Astyanax mexicanus: one gene and its partners. Each later gene encodes a partner of the first gene's protein in a complex. Links are inferred from orthologs where the notes say so. Each region holds a gene or a part of one and is shown in the gene's direction. Other genes may lie near its edges. The genes, in order: b9d2, tmem216 and mks1.

The links.
Region 2: b9d2 (region 1) and tmem216 share a complex: the UniProt entries of both Homo sapiens proteins name them as parts of the tectonic-like complex. The link is inferred for Astyanax mexicanus from reciprocal best matches to the Homo sapiens genes B9D2 and TMEM216.
Region 3: b9d2 (region 1) and mks1 share a complex: the UniProt entries of both Homo sapiens proteins name them as parts of the tectonic-like complex. The link is inferred for Astyanax mexicanus from reciprocal best matches to the Homo sapiens genes B9D2 and MKS1.

The regions. Positions count from the first base shown.
Region 1 is NC_064424.1:5,650,314-5,654,071, forward strand, and holds the start of b9d2 (B9 domain-containing protein 2), read left to right. Parts: upstream 1-1,236; 5' UTR 1,237-1,468; intron 1,469-3,482; 5' UTR 3,483-3,488; coding exon 3,489-3,576; intron 3,577-3,715; coding exon 3,716-3,758. UniProt on the Homo sapiens protein: Component of the tectonic-like complex, a complex localized at the transition zone of primary cilia and acting as a barrier that prevents diffusion of transmembrane proteins between the cilia and plasma membranes.
Region 2 is NC_064417.1:38,793,425-38,797,182, forward strand, and holds the start of tmem216 (transmembrane protein 216), read left to right. Parts: upstream 1-1,520; 5' UTR 1,521-1,739; coding exon 1,740-1,764; intron 1,765-2,926; coding exon 2,927-2,940; intron 2,941-3,057; coding exon 3,058-3,151; intron 3,152-3,241; coding exon 3,242-3,334; intron 3,335-3,746; coding exon 3,747-3,758. Other genes in the region: uncharacterized protein matr3l1.1, read left to right, coding at 293-440, 568-683, 780-836. UniProt on the Homo sapiens protein: Part of the tectonic-like complex which is required for tissue-specific ciliogenesis and may regulate ciliary membrane composition.
Region 3 is NC_064408.1:26,070,514-26,074,271, forward strand, and holds the start of mks1 (Meckel syndrome type 1 protein), read left to right. Parts: upstream 1-1,132; 5' UTR 1,133-1,203; coding exon 1,204-1,388; intron 1,389-3,679; exon of another isoform or gene 3,680-3,705; coding exon of another isoform or gene 3,706-3,752; intron 3,753-3,758. Other genes in the region: mrm1 (rRNA methyltransferase 1, mitochondrial), read right to left, coding at 1-57. UniProt on the Homo sapiens protein: Component of the tectonic-like complex, a complex localized at the transition zone of primary cilia and acting as a barrier that prevents diffusion of transmembrane proteins between the cilia and plasma membranes.

The DNA.
Region 1 (3,758 bases):
ATGATTATAAGTCGTTCATCTATATGACTGTGTAATATAACGAATTAAATAGCAATGTGGAGGACAAAACATATGTTAAAACAATAATTTGTTCTTTTCGGTATTTATAGTTTTTTTCTTGATATTGAAAAAACAAATTTAACATACTGATTGAACAATTTAATTACAACTTATTCACAAAAAGTATTTTATTAAAGTTAAAATATTTTTTTTTAGTATGGGAATTTTTTTAATTTATTTTTTATTGCAGGCTTAGCAAAATATACAAACATGAAGTTTTAATACATTATTCTCATCATATATACACATTTGTTTGCGATTTTACATGAAGTGAACATTACAGAAAGTCTTTTTTACTTATTTTTTATTTATATATAGAAAGAATAATAAAAAAAAAATAATTAAAAATAATTAAAAATAAACCAGGAAGACTTTGTGTATTGTGTATTGTTTTAAAAAAAAGCACGGGTCATACTTTTTTTCTGGCTTATTTCTTATTAATTTAGTTTATTTATTTTTTTTATTCATTTTTCTTTTTATATTCTTTATATTTTATTTCTTTTGGTTTGTTTCTGCCTGATAATTTCTTGTAACTTTCTTATATTAATATGTCAGATTGCTGGTACCATTATTTTTTGTCCTTGAATGTTTAAATTGTATTTGTTATTAATATAGCTCTAATACAAAAAAATAATAATAAAACAATGGGTCCTGAACAGCAGGCGACAGCAAAGAGCTTTAGAGCTGCATCTCTCCTGCCACAGATTCAAACAGAGAGAGCGAGACAGAGCGAGACGCCCCACTATTATACTTCTATCAGTAAATACGTCTAACCACTAGGGGGAGCCCGCGAGTGAATCCTCAATCAATGGGGTGAATGGAGCTAAACGGCTAAAAACTCAAATTAAACAGAGTGCAAAACTACTTATCCGGGATATTAATTTGATTTTAGAAAGTATATTGAAGAATATACTAAACAAGAAAATAAACTTTACCTGTGTTTTTTCTATTGTTATAAAATAAACGTGTTTTCCTATTGAAAGGCGCTAGCATTGCTGCTAATATGTGCTGATTGGTTGGTTAGCTGAGACTTGGTCCCAAACTAGCTGCTGGTCTTAAATAGGAAAAACCTATTGATTTTCATTTTAACATGAAGTCACATTAGGGGCTCCGTATAGCAATCCAAGTAAAAGTAGATTAGCAGATATAAACTACCCTAAATAGATAAGTATTAATTTTAAAGGCCCTCTGGTGTCTGAGTAAAGACCCGCAGCAGATTGTCAGTAGTACAGTGGGAGCTCTGTGTATTAGAGAGTCTGCGCGTTACTAAGGGAAGGAGCGGCTGGAGACGGGCTGTGTGGAGCAGTGTAAACACTGAGCTCAGGATTAGCGCTCTGATCCACATAAACTTACCTACAGCACCGTGTTCCAGCAGATCTCTGCTGAATGATCCGCCTGTGGTGAGCTGGTACTATACTCCTCACTGTATGTGGTAATACAGATAGCTTAGATATTATTATAGACAGATAGGCTGTGTTTTATAAGCTAGGCTAGGCTAGTTAAGCTAGTTTTCTGACTAAGCTACCTGTTTAGCTTAGCCTTAGCCTAGCCAAAGTGAGCTAACGCTAAGAATCACCTGTAACAACAAAGATACAGAGCTTTCAGACCTTAAATACTGCAAAGAAAACATTCATATTTATAAAGTTTTAAGAGTTCAGAAATCAATATTTGGTGGAATAACCAAAAAACCTAGTTTTAAATCACAGTTTTCTCATGCATCTTCCCATGTTCTCCTCCACCAGTCTTACACACTGCTTTTGGATAACTTTATGCCTTTACTCCTTGGTGTTCAGCTTGGTTTGATGGTTTGTGATCATCCATCTTCCTCTTGATTATATTCCAGAGGTTTTCAATTTGGCAAAATCAAAGAAACTCATCATTTTAAGTGGTCTTTTATTTTGTTTCTCCAAAATATCCTAAACTAATTAAGCATACTTTAAAAAATATTAAATATTAAAATCTGCTCGTTCATGTTATCGAAAAGCAATGCAGTTTTCCCAGTGACATACAGGGATTAAGCCTAGTCTTGGACTACACAGCATTGTAAATGGAGATTTTCATTTCAAAGAAAAATATAGTTTATCGGATCCTAATCCTAATTTCTTTTCAGAAAGGGATAATGTTGAGATCTGCCAAAATAATATAATAACATATGGTGTCCATAATATAATTATCCTGACAAAACTAGCTCCATATTCCATATAGTAAATCAGACTTTATTCATATTTCTTTATTAAATTAGTATTTTTATTACATTTATGTAGTTTAAACAATTTTTGACTAACATGACCATTTAGTGAGTTATCTAGCTCAGGAGTTCTCAACTGGTCTGAGCCCGGGACCCACATTTTCTCGTGGTCATTAAGTTGTGACCCACTTTTATAGAATACAAACCAAACAAATTAATGTTTTAACATACCCATTTAAACATACATATGCATGCAAAGTGAGTTTAAGAGCATTTTCTAAAAAAGAAGAAACTGAGGAGGAACATGACAACTACATTTTTAAAAGTTACTGCAATAAAATTAAATATCAAAACTGCACAAAACAAAAAATAAGCCCACAAAATAAGATATTTAATTTCTTTGCATATCTCTGCATTCTGAGTACATAAGTAAGAAACTCTCTCTTTTTCCTCAATATAAAGGACAGTACAACATCAGATCAGCATGAATTATTTTTTCATTTAATTTATATTTTAAATGTATTTCTTTTTTATAAAGCTGTCTGTAACCCTCCCAGAACGTGTCCGTGTCCTGACCCACCAGTTGAGAATCGCAATAAACACCACTATGACTGAATCATGAGGTCACTGATTTAGATTTAAATTCCTCTAAACCTAAAATATAGGATGGAAAAGAAATGCTCTTTTCTGAAATCTGAGTGAGATGTAATCGCATGCTTCTCTTTAGAACAGCAGTTGTGGGTTTAATGGATATATTGGCTCTCTTCATATATATGTAATCACTTCCATATGTACAGAAAGAGTAGCTGACTTATTAGATTACACTGTTGCTTTCTTCTGTGGATCTGCTGTCAAGATATTCTACATCAGATATATAATTAAATTCAGAAACAGTTTTGTAAGGTTTATGTTTTATTTATTTATTTTATTTATTCATTTTATTTATTTATTTTTATTGCATTTTCGCTGTTGTGAATTGTGGGGTATATTATGTTGATATTAGTTAGCTGATTGATTAGTACTATCATTTTAATTACTGATTTCCAACCTACTGTTTAGTGTCTACTGTAAACTGGTTCACACTACAGACCTATTTTATACTATAATAAGAAAAATGTCTTTTTGTATGTATTTTTTTATTATTATTTTTGCCTTTCTTTCTTTCTTTTCCTTTATTCATCTTTTTTATATAAAAAAAATCTTCAGATGTAACTCATTTTCCAATCTTTTGCAGAGTCTTATGGCAGAGCTGCACATAATCGGACAGATTGTCGGGGCCAGCGGTTTCCCTCAGAGTAGTTTGTTCTGCAAGTGGGGTGTTCACACAGGTATCCAATCGTCTCTAATCTTATCTCACATCCCTCCAATCTTTTTAGTTTTGGTTGCAAGGTGTTTGCTTTTGTTGTTCATGAATCTAAACCTGGATTAGTTTCATTCTCATTGTGTCTCTCTCAATCTGCCCATCAGGAGGAGCATGGAGGCTCCTCTCTGGACTGAAGGAAGGACAGAC
Region 2 (3,758 bases), on another chromosome or scaffold:
GGGAAACTTTTTAATAAAGGTTACTTCAGCCAAAAGCAGAAATATCAGCTATTAGGTGATACGTTGACTTCAACCAAGTTTTAGTAATTCAGGCTTTACCTCTCAGTGCTGTTCAAATAAAGCACAAGTGTTCATATGTTTAACATGTTCATAAGACGGGGTTTTTGTGGGGTGTCATTTAACGTGTGAATTCTGTGTTCTATGATAAATGCAACCAAGGTATGTATCTTTCTCTTCTTCATGTAAATAACCTTTTTGGATTTAACTTTTTATTTGGTTGTGCCCTGTTAAGCAGAATGACGATTCTGATGCTACTGTTGTGCCTTCCGGTGTACCTTCTAAGAATGAGGAAAACAGTGAAGGTCTTACTGTTCCTGTGCAGTCTGTGAAAAAAACTACCCTAGACAGTCTGGGGCCATATGAACCTGATGTCCCAGTGGGTAAGCCAACAGTGTTTTCGTTAAAGAACATTTTAATATATTAAATAGAGATTTAGGAAACAAATATGTATAATAATAAATGTATATATGAGGGTACATCACTTTTGGCCCTTTGATGTTCTTGTAGGTGCAGAGTTTGTGAAGATGGGATATTATTGCAGAGTCTGCTTCCTTTTTTACTCAAATGAAGACACCGCTAAGAAGGTCCACTGCAGCAGCCAAGCACACTACAACAAACTTAAGGTGCTTTATTACAGCTAAAATAGCTTTAATTTATCATATGTTGCATGCAAGAATAAAAAATCTGACTTTTTTTTTTTTGTTTTCTTTTTTTTTTAGAAACACTTGGAAAAGGAGAAGGCAAAAGCACAAAGAGAAAATATGACCAGAGAGTAACACTGGGAAGAACTGAAGCTATAGGAGATGATGTCCTTGGTACTATACAGTATTTGATAGTGCATGAGCTGTTAGTGCAGTATACTGATATAATGTATATTATACTGGTATAATGTATTTTCAGTAAGCTGATTCATTTGCCATATTTTTTTCCCCTTTTTTTTATCTTACTAGATCCTAGAACACATTCATCTGCTGTTACTTTCTGTCTTGCCATATTAAAAGTATTCCTTCAACTATTTGCTGGTTGTGACTGATTCAGCACTACAGACATACAATAAAACTTTCATTATGGTCTGTCCCTTAAACTGTTTCGTGTCTGGTTTGTAAAATGTATGTTAATAGTAAAATGTTAAAAGATAATAGTATCACATTCCAGTTCTTTGCTCTTTATTGGGTGAGTGCAGCGTCTAATTACTTTAATGAATAATAGAAATTAGAATACTTTTAGGCAAACAATTGGCCTGGTTTACTGATTAGTGATTGATGTCTTTGCAAGAGGAAATTTTAAAAATAAGGGTTTACTGAGTGTTCTTTCTGCTTGCATGCACCAGCGTGCTGAAATAACCCTCCTACATTAATATATTTAAGATAATTGGATTGAATATAGATATCTTATAATTGTATTAGTTATATTTAGAAGATTTTTGAATTTGGGTAATTGAACACTGACGCAATAAATGAAATCACATTACGAAACATGCTGGTAATTGCATTAAAAGATGTTTCTCAGTTTTACCCCAATTTTATTTTTTCTTTTAAACTGAAAGCGTGTCCTCGTGCGTGTGTGCGCTCTCGCTCTTACGCTGTTTCTGATTGGATGGACTTAAGTCAGACGCTAGCAGGTCCCCGAACTCTGATTGGACAACTGTCCAGTTACCGCCCTAGGATGACGCCGTCTCCATGGTATCCAAAATGGCGACCCACGGTAAGACGTATCCAAGCTGATAGTAACTAGTTAAAGCAGAGAGGCTAAAATTACCGGATAAATATATTTAATATATAATAAACAGGTTTAGGACGAGTAAACTCATTGTTCCGGTCATTTTACAGTCAGATAAACGGCGTTTCTCCCGCTGTTCTGCTGTTATTTTCCGAGAAGACGCTGTTCTTTCTCTCTGTTGGGACTAAAACCTCAAACCCGAGTTTGTGTGAGGATGATGTTGATAATTCTGCTCTCTGAGATAAATCAGGCCTGGAGTGGAAAAGTTTTAGACGGTTTTACAGTTCCTGTTCTAGCAGAAACAGCGAAGCATATCCGAATGATTCTTCTTATCGTTCAGTGAAGCTCAGATAATTACTACACTCCAGTCCATTACACTAAACAAAGCGAAACAAACAAAATATAGCTACACATATATTAGGCAAAATAATCTAAAAGGGATAGAAATATTAATATATCTAAATACACTAAAAGTTATATGGCAGCAGCTGTAATTGCACAGTAGGAATGTGCTGACCCTATATCATATCATACAAAATATTGGGATATGTAAGATTAAAACAGTCCATATTGTGCGCATTTAAGCTTACTAGCTACTGTAATTGTTTGCTCTAAGACATTATTTTTATGTTTTGTTGCTACGTTATTTATTTTGTTAAAAAAATCAACAGTCTTGGTAAATTCCTGTTGTTTGCAAAATAGATGAAGTAGTATGTTTTCGAAATTTTTATATATATATATATATATATATATATATATATATATATATATTATATGAAATTTTATTCATATAATTATCTTGTTTCTCTCATTTTCTTTTTCATTACAATTTAGATTTGTTTATATACTGTTGTATTTGTCTTGCTGTGTTTATTGTTTATTACTGTTTGTAGTACCTAGAGCCTGTTTCTATGTATAAAAAGGTATATAAAAGTAAAAAATTAAGTTATTAGTATAAGTATTATTATTATCATCAAATATATAGAATCAGGCCAATGACAATGCTGCAGTATAGTTCCATCCTCTGCTAATAGTTTGTGGTGCTTAATTTGAGATTAATTTATTATCAGTATTCTGTAAAACTGATTTTTATTTAAATTTTTGTAATGCACTAGATTTTTACATTTTGTTATTTTTTCTCTTCCAGGAAAGCACCCCATTGTATCCTTTTAGTGCAATATTATCTCTTTCCTGCTTGTCTTTCTTTACTCCTGTGTTGTCTCAGGGAAATGAGTAATATAACAGTCTATTATTAGTCTTCTTAACAGAAGATCTCAGTTGTCCTCCACACCCCTGCAGGTCCTCTTTTATTTAAACAGCTGGTATTTTGCTGTGTTCTTCATCGCTGAGATCTTAATGTTTATTTATAAAGGTAAAGTATCACAAGAAGTATTCTGCTCTGATATGTGTATTTTATATTAACAATAATACCATCAAACATACTGTTTTTAATTGTTTTTAGGAGTGTTGCTCCCATACCCGCAATCAAATCTCATACTTGACATTGTGCTGCTTCTTCTCTACCTTGGCCTTGAAACCCTCAGACTGTTTTACGGTCAGTGTACGACGCAGAATTTTATTTCTATATTTTAACACACACTAATAAAAAAAAACTGCTGTAGACTCAGCATGCTGGTATGTCTCAGGCAGGCAGTTAAATTATTAAAGATGAAAAGTGCTTCCCTATAAGATTGGTCTCAGAGGCTACTTTTGGGTAGTGTACTTCTCACAGAGAGATCATTAACTGATAGACTTGCCTCTGATGCACTTAAGTGTGCACATTATTTCTATTTCTATGTACTGTTTTTACTACTAAAAGTATGCTTTCACTCTAATATCTAATTTTACTACATATATTTACATTACATTCACACAAATTTTTCTTGTTTTGTTTTTGTCTGTGAGTGTATTTCAGACCTGTAGCATTTTTAATGACTGTAGGACTTCTGATGTTTCTGTTTTTGTAGGCTGGAAGGGAA
Region 3 (3,758 bases), on another chromosome or scaffold:
GGAACATCTGCCTGAAGTCCTTAAAGATTTGAGGTGAATTAAGTTCAATTTCCACATGATTCTGCTCGAATTAAGCCACTGTAGTATAATAACTCTTAAACCACGTCCTGTCCTCCACTCTTTAAACTCCAAAAAATGAATAGAGGGTAGTAGTTAGTAGTTAGCAGTAAACACGTTTAACTAGCTAAGCTAAATAACATCAGCTAACTACTGTATCTCTATAACGTTAGCTCTCAATGGATTTACCATGGCTAGCTGTCTAGTTAGCCAACGTAGCTAACGTTACCACGTATTCATTCAGTATGAATACGGTTTAGCTGGATAAAACACATCGTTGTTACAAAAACGGTCACCTAAGTTTGTTTTAAATCAGACTCCAAGCCATTTAGTAACTAACTAGCCTAGCCTAGCCAACTCTAACGCTACTGTTACTGAAGCGAAGCTGGTTCAGGGAGAGCCTGCCCACAGCTCCACCGTTATAATCAGAAAATGACCTCAAAACGCTAGAGGGAGCCCGCGAGGAAGACCTCAATGAATGGGAGCGAATGGCGCTAAACGGTTAAAAACTCTAATGTAAAATATTTCCTAACTGCTTTACCGAAGTATTCTGTTACATTTAGAAAGTATACTGACGTGTTTTGCCAAAAAGCTAAATAAAACCTACCTATATATTTCTATGTTTCTCCAGCAAACGGATTTTAAGCAGTAATCACGCTAGCATTACAGCTAATGTGAGCTGATGCTGGACAAGTTATAATAGTGCATCTCAAATAAAAAATAGAATATTAATGAAAAGTTACTTTATTTCAGTAATTCAGTTAAAAATGTGAAACACAGTATTACACACAGAGTGATTATTTTAAGTGTTTATTTCTTTTATTGATGATTATGGCTTACAGCCAGTGGAAAAACAAAAATATAGTACCAATATAAGACCAATTGGTACTTTTGGCCGTGTGGGCAGTGTGCCTGATGGAAAATGAAATCCGTATTTCCGTAAAAGTTGTCAGCAGAGGGAAAAATGAAGTGAGAAAACACTACACTGACTTTGGACTTTGGACACAGTGGACCAACACCAGAAGATAACATGGCTTTCCAGACTATCACTGATTGTGGAAACTTCACTCTAGACCTCAAGCAGCTTGGACTCTGTGTCTCTCCACTCTTCTTCCAGACTCTGATCCCTTGATTTGCTAATGGTCAATGATGGTTTGGAGAGCCATGTCATCTGCTGGTGTTGATCCAATTTGTTATATCAAGTCCAAAGTCAGTGCAGTGTTTTCCTGGAAAATCTTACAACACTTCATTCTTCTCTCTGCTGACAGATGTAATGGAGATGCGGATTTTATTTTCCAGCAGGACGTGGCACACTGCCCACACTGCGAAAGGTACCAATTGGTCTTATATCATATTCTGAGACACTGATTTTTAAGTTTTCATTAGCTGTACACCATAATCATCAACAATAAAATAGAACACTGTGTGTGTAATACATCTATATAATATATGAATTTTACATTTTGAACTGAATTACTAAACTTTTCAATGATATTCATTTTTTTTAGATGAACTAGTATAGCTAGCAAGATACCTGAGTTTAAAAGTCTTAAAATTTAAACTCAGGTATCTTGTACTCAGGTATTTTTGTACTTAACCTCTTCTATTATTTGCACTTCAATATTGTAAGTCGCTTTGGACAAAAGCGTCTGCCAAATGTAATGTAATGTAATGTAATGTAAAATTGGGGTTTAAACATTTTTATGTCTTCGGTACTAAAACATCTGAAGTTCTATGAAAATATAAAACTTATTTATACAAACATTCATAAACTATGATTTTGCTCAAACGCTAAAGGTACCCATTCATTTTTATTTTGGAATCACCCTGGAGCGCCCTCTGGTGTCTGACAAACCCGAAAGAGACCACTGAAGTAGGTAGTCTCCTCTGTAGAGGGTCTCTGACAAAGCAGCATTTAAGCTTTAGCGCACACGCACGTGGAAAGGAGTTCCGGTCACCTTCGCCCAGATCCCCCAATAGGAGCTCTGGTTAATGGGCGCGCCTCGAATCGACTCCTTGCCCCCTACGTAGTGAAAATTCGAACACCCCTTTTTTAGGGTTGGGTGGGCTTTTTTCTAAGGTGGCCGAGTGAAATGACCAGCCCGGTATAATACTATGATAAATAAATAATACTTTATTTATTTATTTATACATACTTTGAGAATAATATTTATTCTTCATTTTATTTTAGCTTTAGTGTTTTGAACACTGGCATGCTGTTTACTAGCAACTGCTTGAAAGCTGGATGTCAGTCAAGATCAGTGACTAATCTAGTGCCCATTATGAACAGAGTACATTGTGTTTAGCTAAATAACCACAAACATCTTTTTTTTTAACCACAAACATCATTAGCTATCTGTGTTTGCATTTATGACTTAAACAGGCTACCTACACTTGTTCCCTAAAAAAGTCAAATTGAGACTTACCCTTTGTTAGAGTTTACGCAAAGAATCTTTAGAGGGGAGAATACCCACTCGAGAATTTGTTACGGCTTTGTCACAGCACCAGAGGGCGCACCTTGACTGAGTCCAAAATGAGTGGATTCTTATGGAGGAATTTAGAAAAATCAGAGTTATAAATGTTACTTTCTATATTTAAAGAAATGCCTTGAATTGGGACTTTTTCACAAATTGATTATTGTGTTTATCAAAACTAGATTGGCTTCCAGTCTATTTTAGGATAGATTTTAAAGTACTGCTATTAGTTTTAAGGCATTACATGGATTGGCACCATCATAAATTACAGATTGTCTATCTCTATATGTTTCAAGTCATTGTTTAAGATCAAGCACTGCAAGTCTGCTTACAGTACCTAAAATTAATAAGAACCAAAAAGTGGGGGGGGGGGGATTATGTTTTTTATGCACCAAAGAAATATAACAGCTTACAAATAGAGATTAGACAGAGTCAGAAAACAGTTTCAAAAAGTATCTGAAGACATATATCTATAATCTTTTATTTTAATAATTGATTTGTTCATTTTATCATATATTATTTTATAGTTTGTATATATATTTTATATCTGCAATCTTTTGCAATCTTACTTTACTTTTTTATTTGCTCTTTTTGTCATTTTACACTGCATTTCTATTTATATATTTTTATTATTGTTTAACGTTGATTTTATTGCATTTTATCTAGTAAATTTTAATTTACTTGTTTCTTTTATTACTTTTCTAAAGTTTTAACCTCTTAGCTCCATTTACATTATTCATTTAGGACTCGCGGGCTCCCTCTAGCGGTTCCTTGTCGTTTAATGCTGCAGCGATTCTGCTTGTTAAATGATCAGGCTCTCTATAAACTGCCTCTTGCCAAAGACTTTTTACAGGCAAGACAGTTCACTTGACCGCCATCTCGCGACGCTTATGATCTTCTCGTGCAAGACCAGCCTCCTATCTGTTTGAATGGGAAGAGACCAAAATACTCTAAATAGAAGGCATAATTACAAGTTTAACATCATATTTTACATTACTGATAAAATTGACAAATATATAATTAAAACAATGTTTAACGTTTTTTACAAAAATGTACAAAAAACGTCTTTTTTCGGTTTGTTATGGCTACTGCGCCTGCGCACAACTCCACACTTAGCACTAGCAGCAAGCTGAGTGGCTCTCATTAGTACAGCGGTGAGTGGTCTGTCTCCTCAATGATAGGATCTCTGCTCTGGTTTACGGCGCAGTACTCAGCCCTACGGTTTGT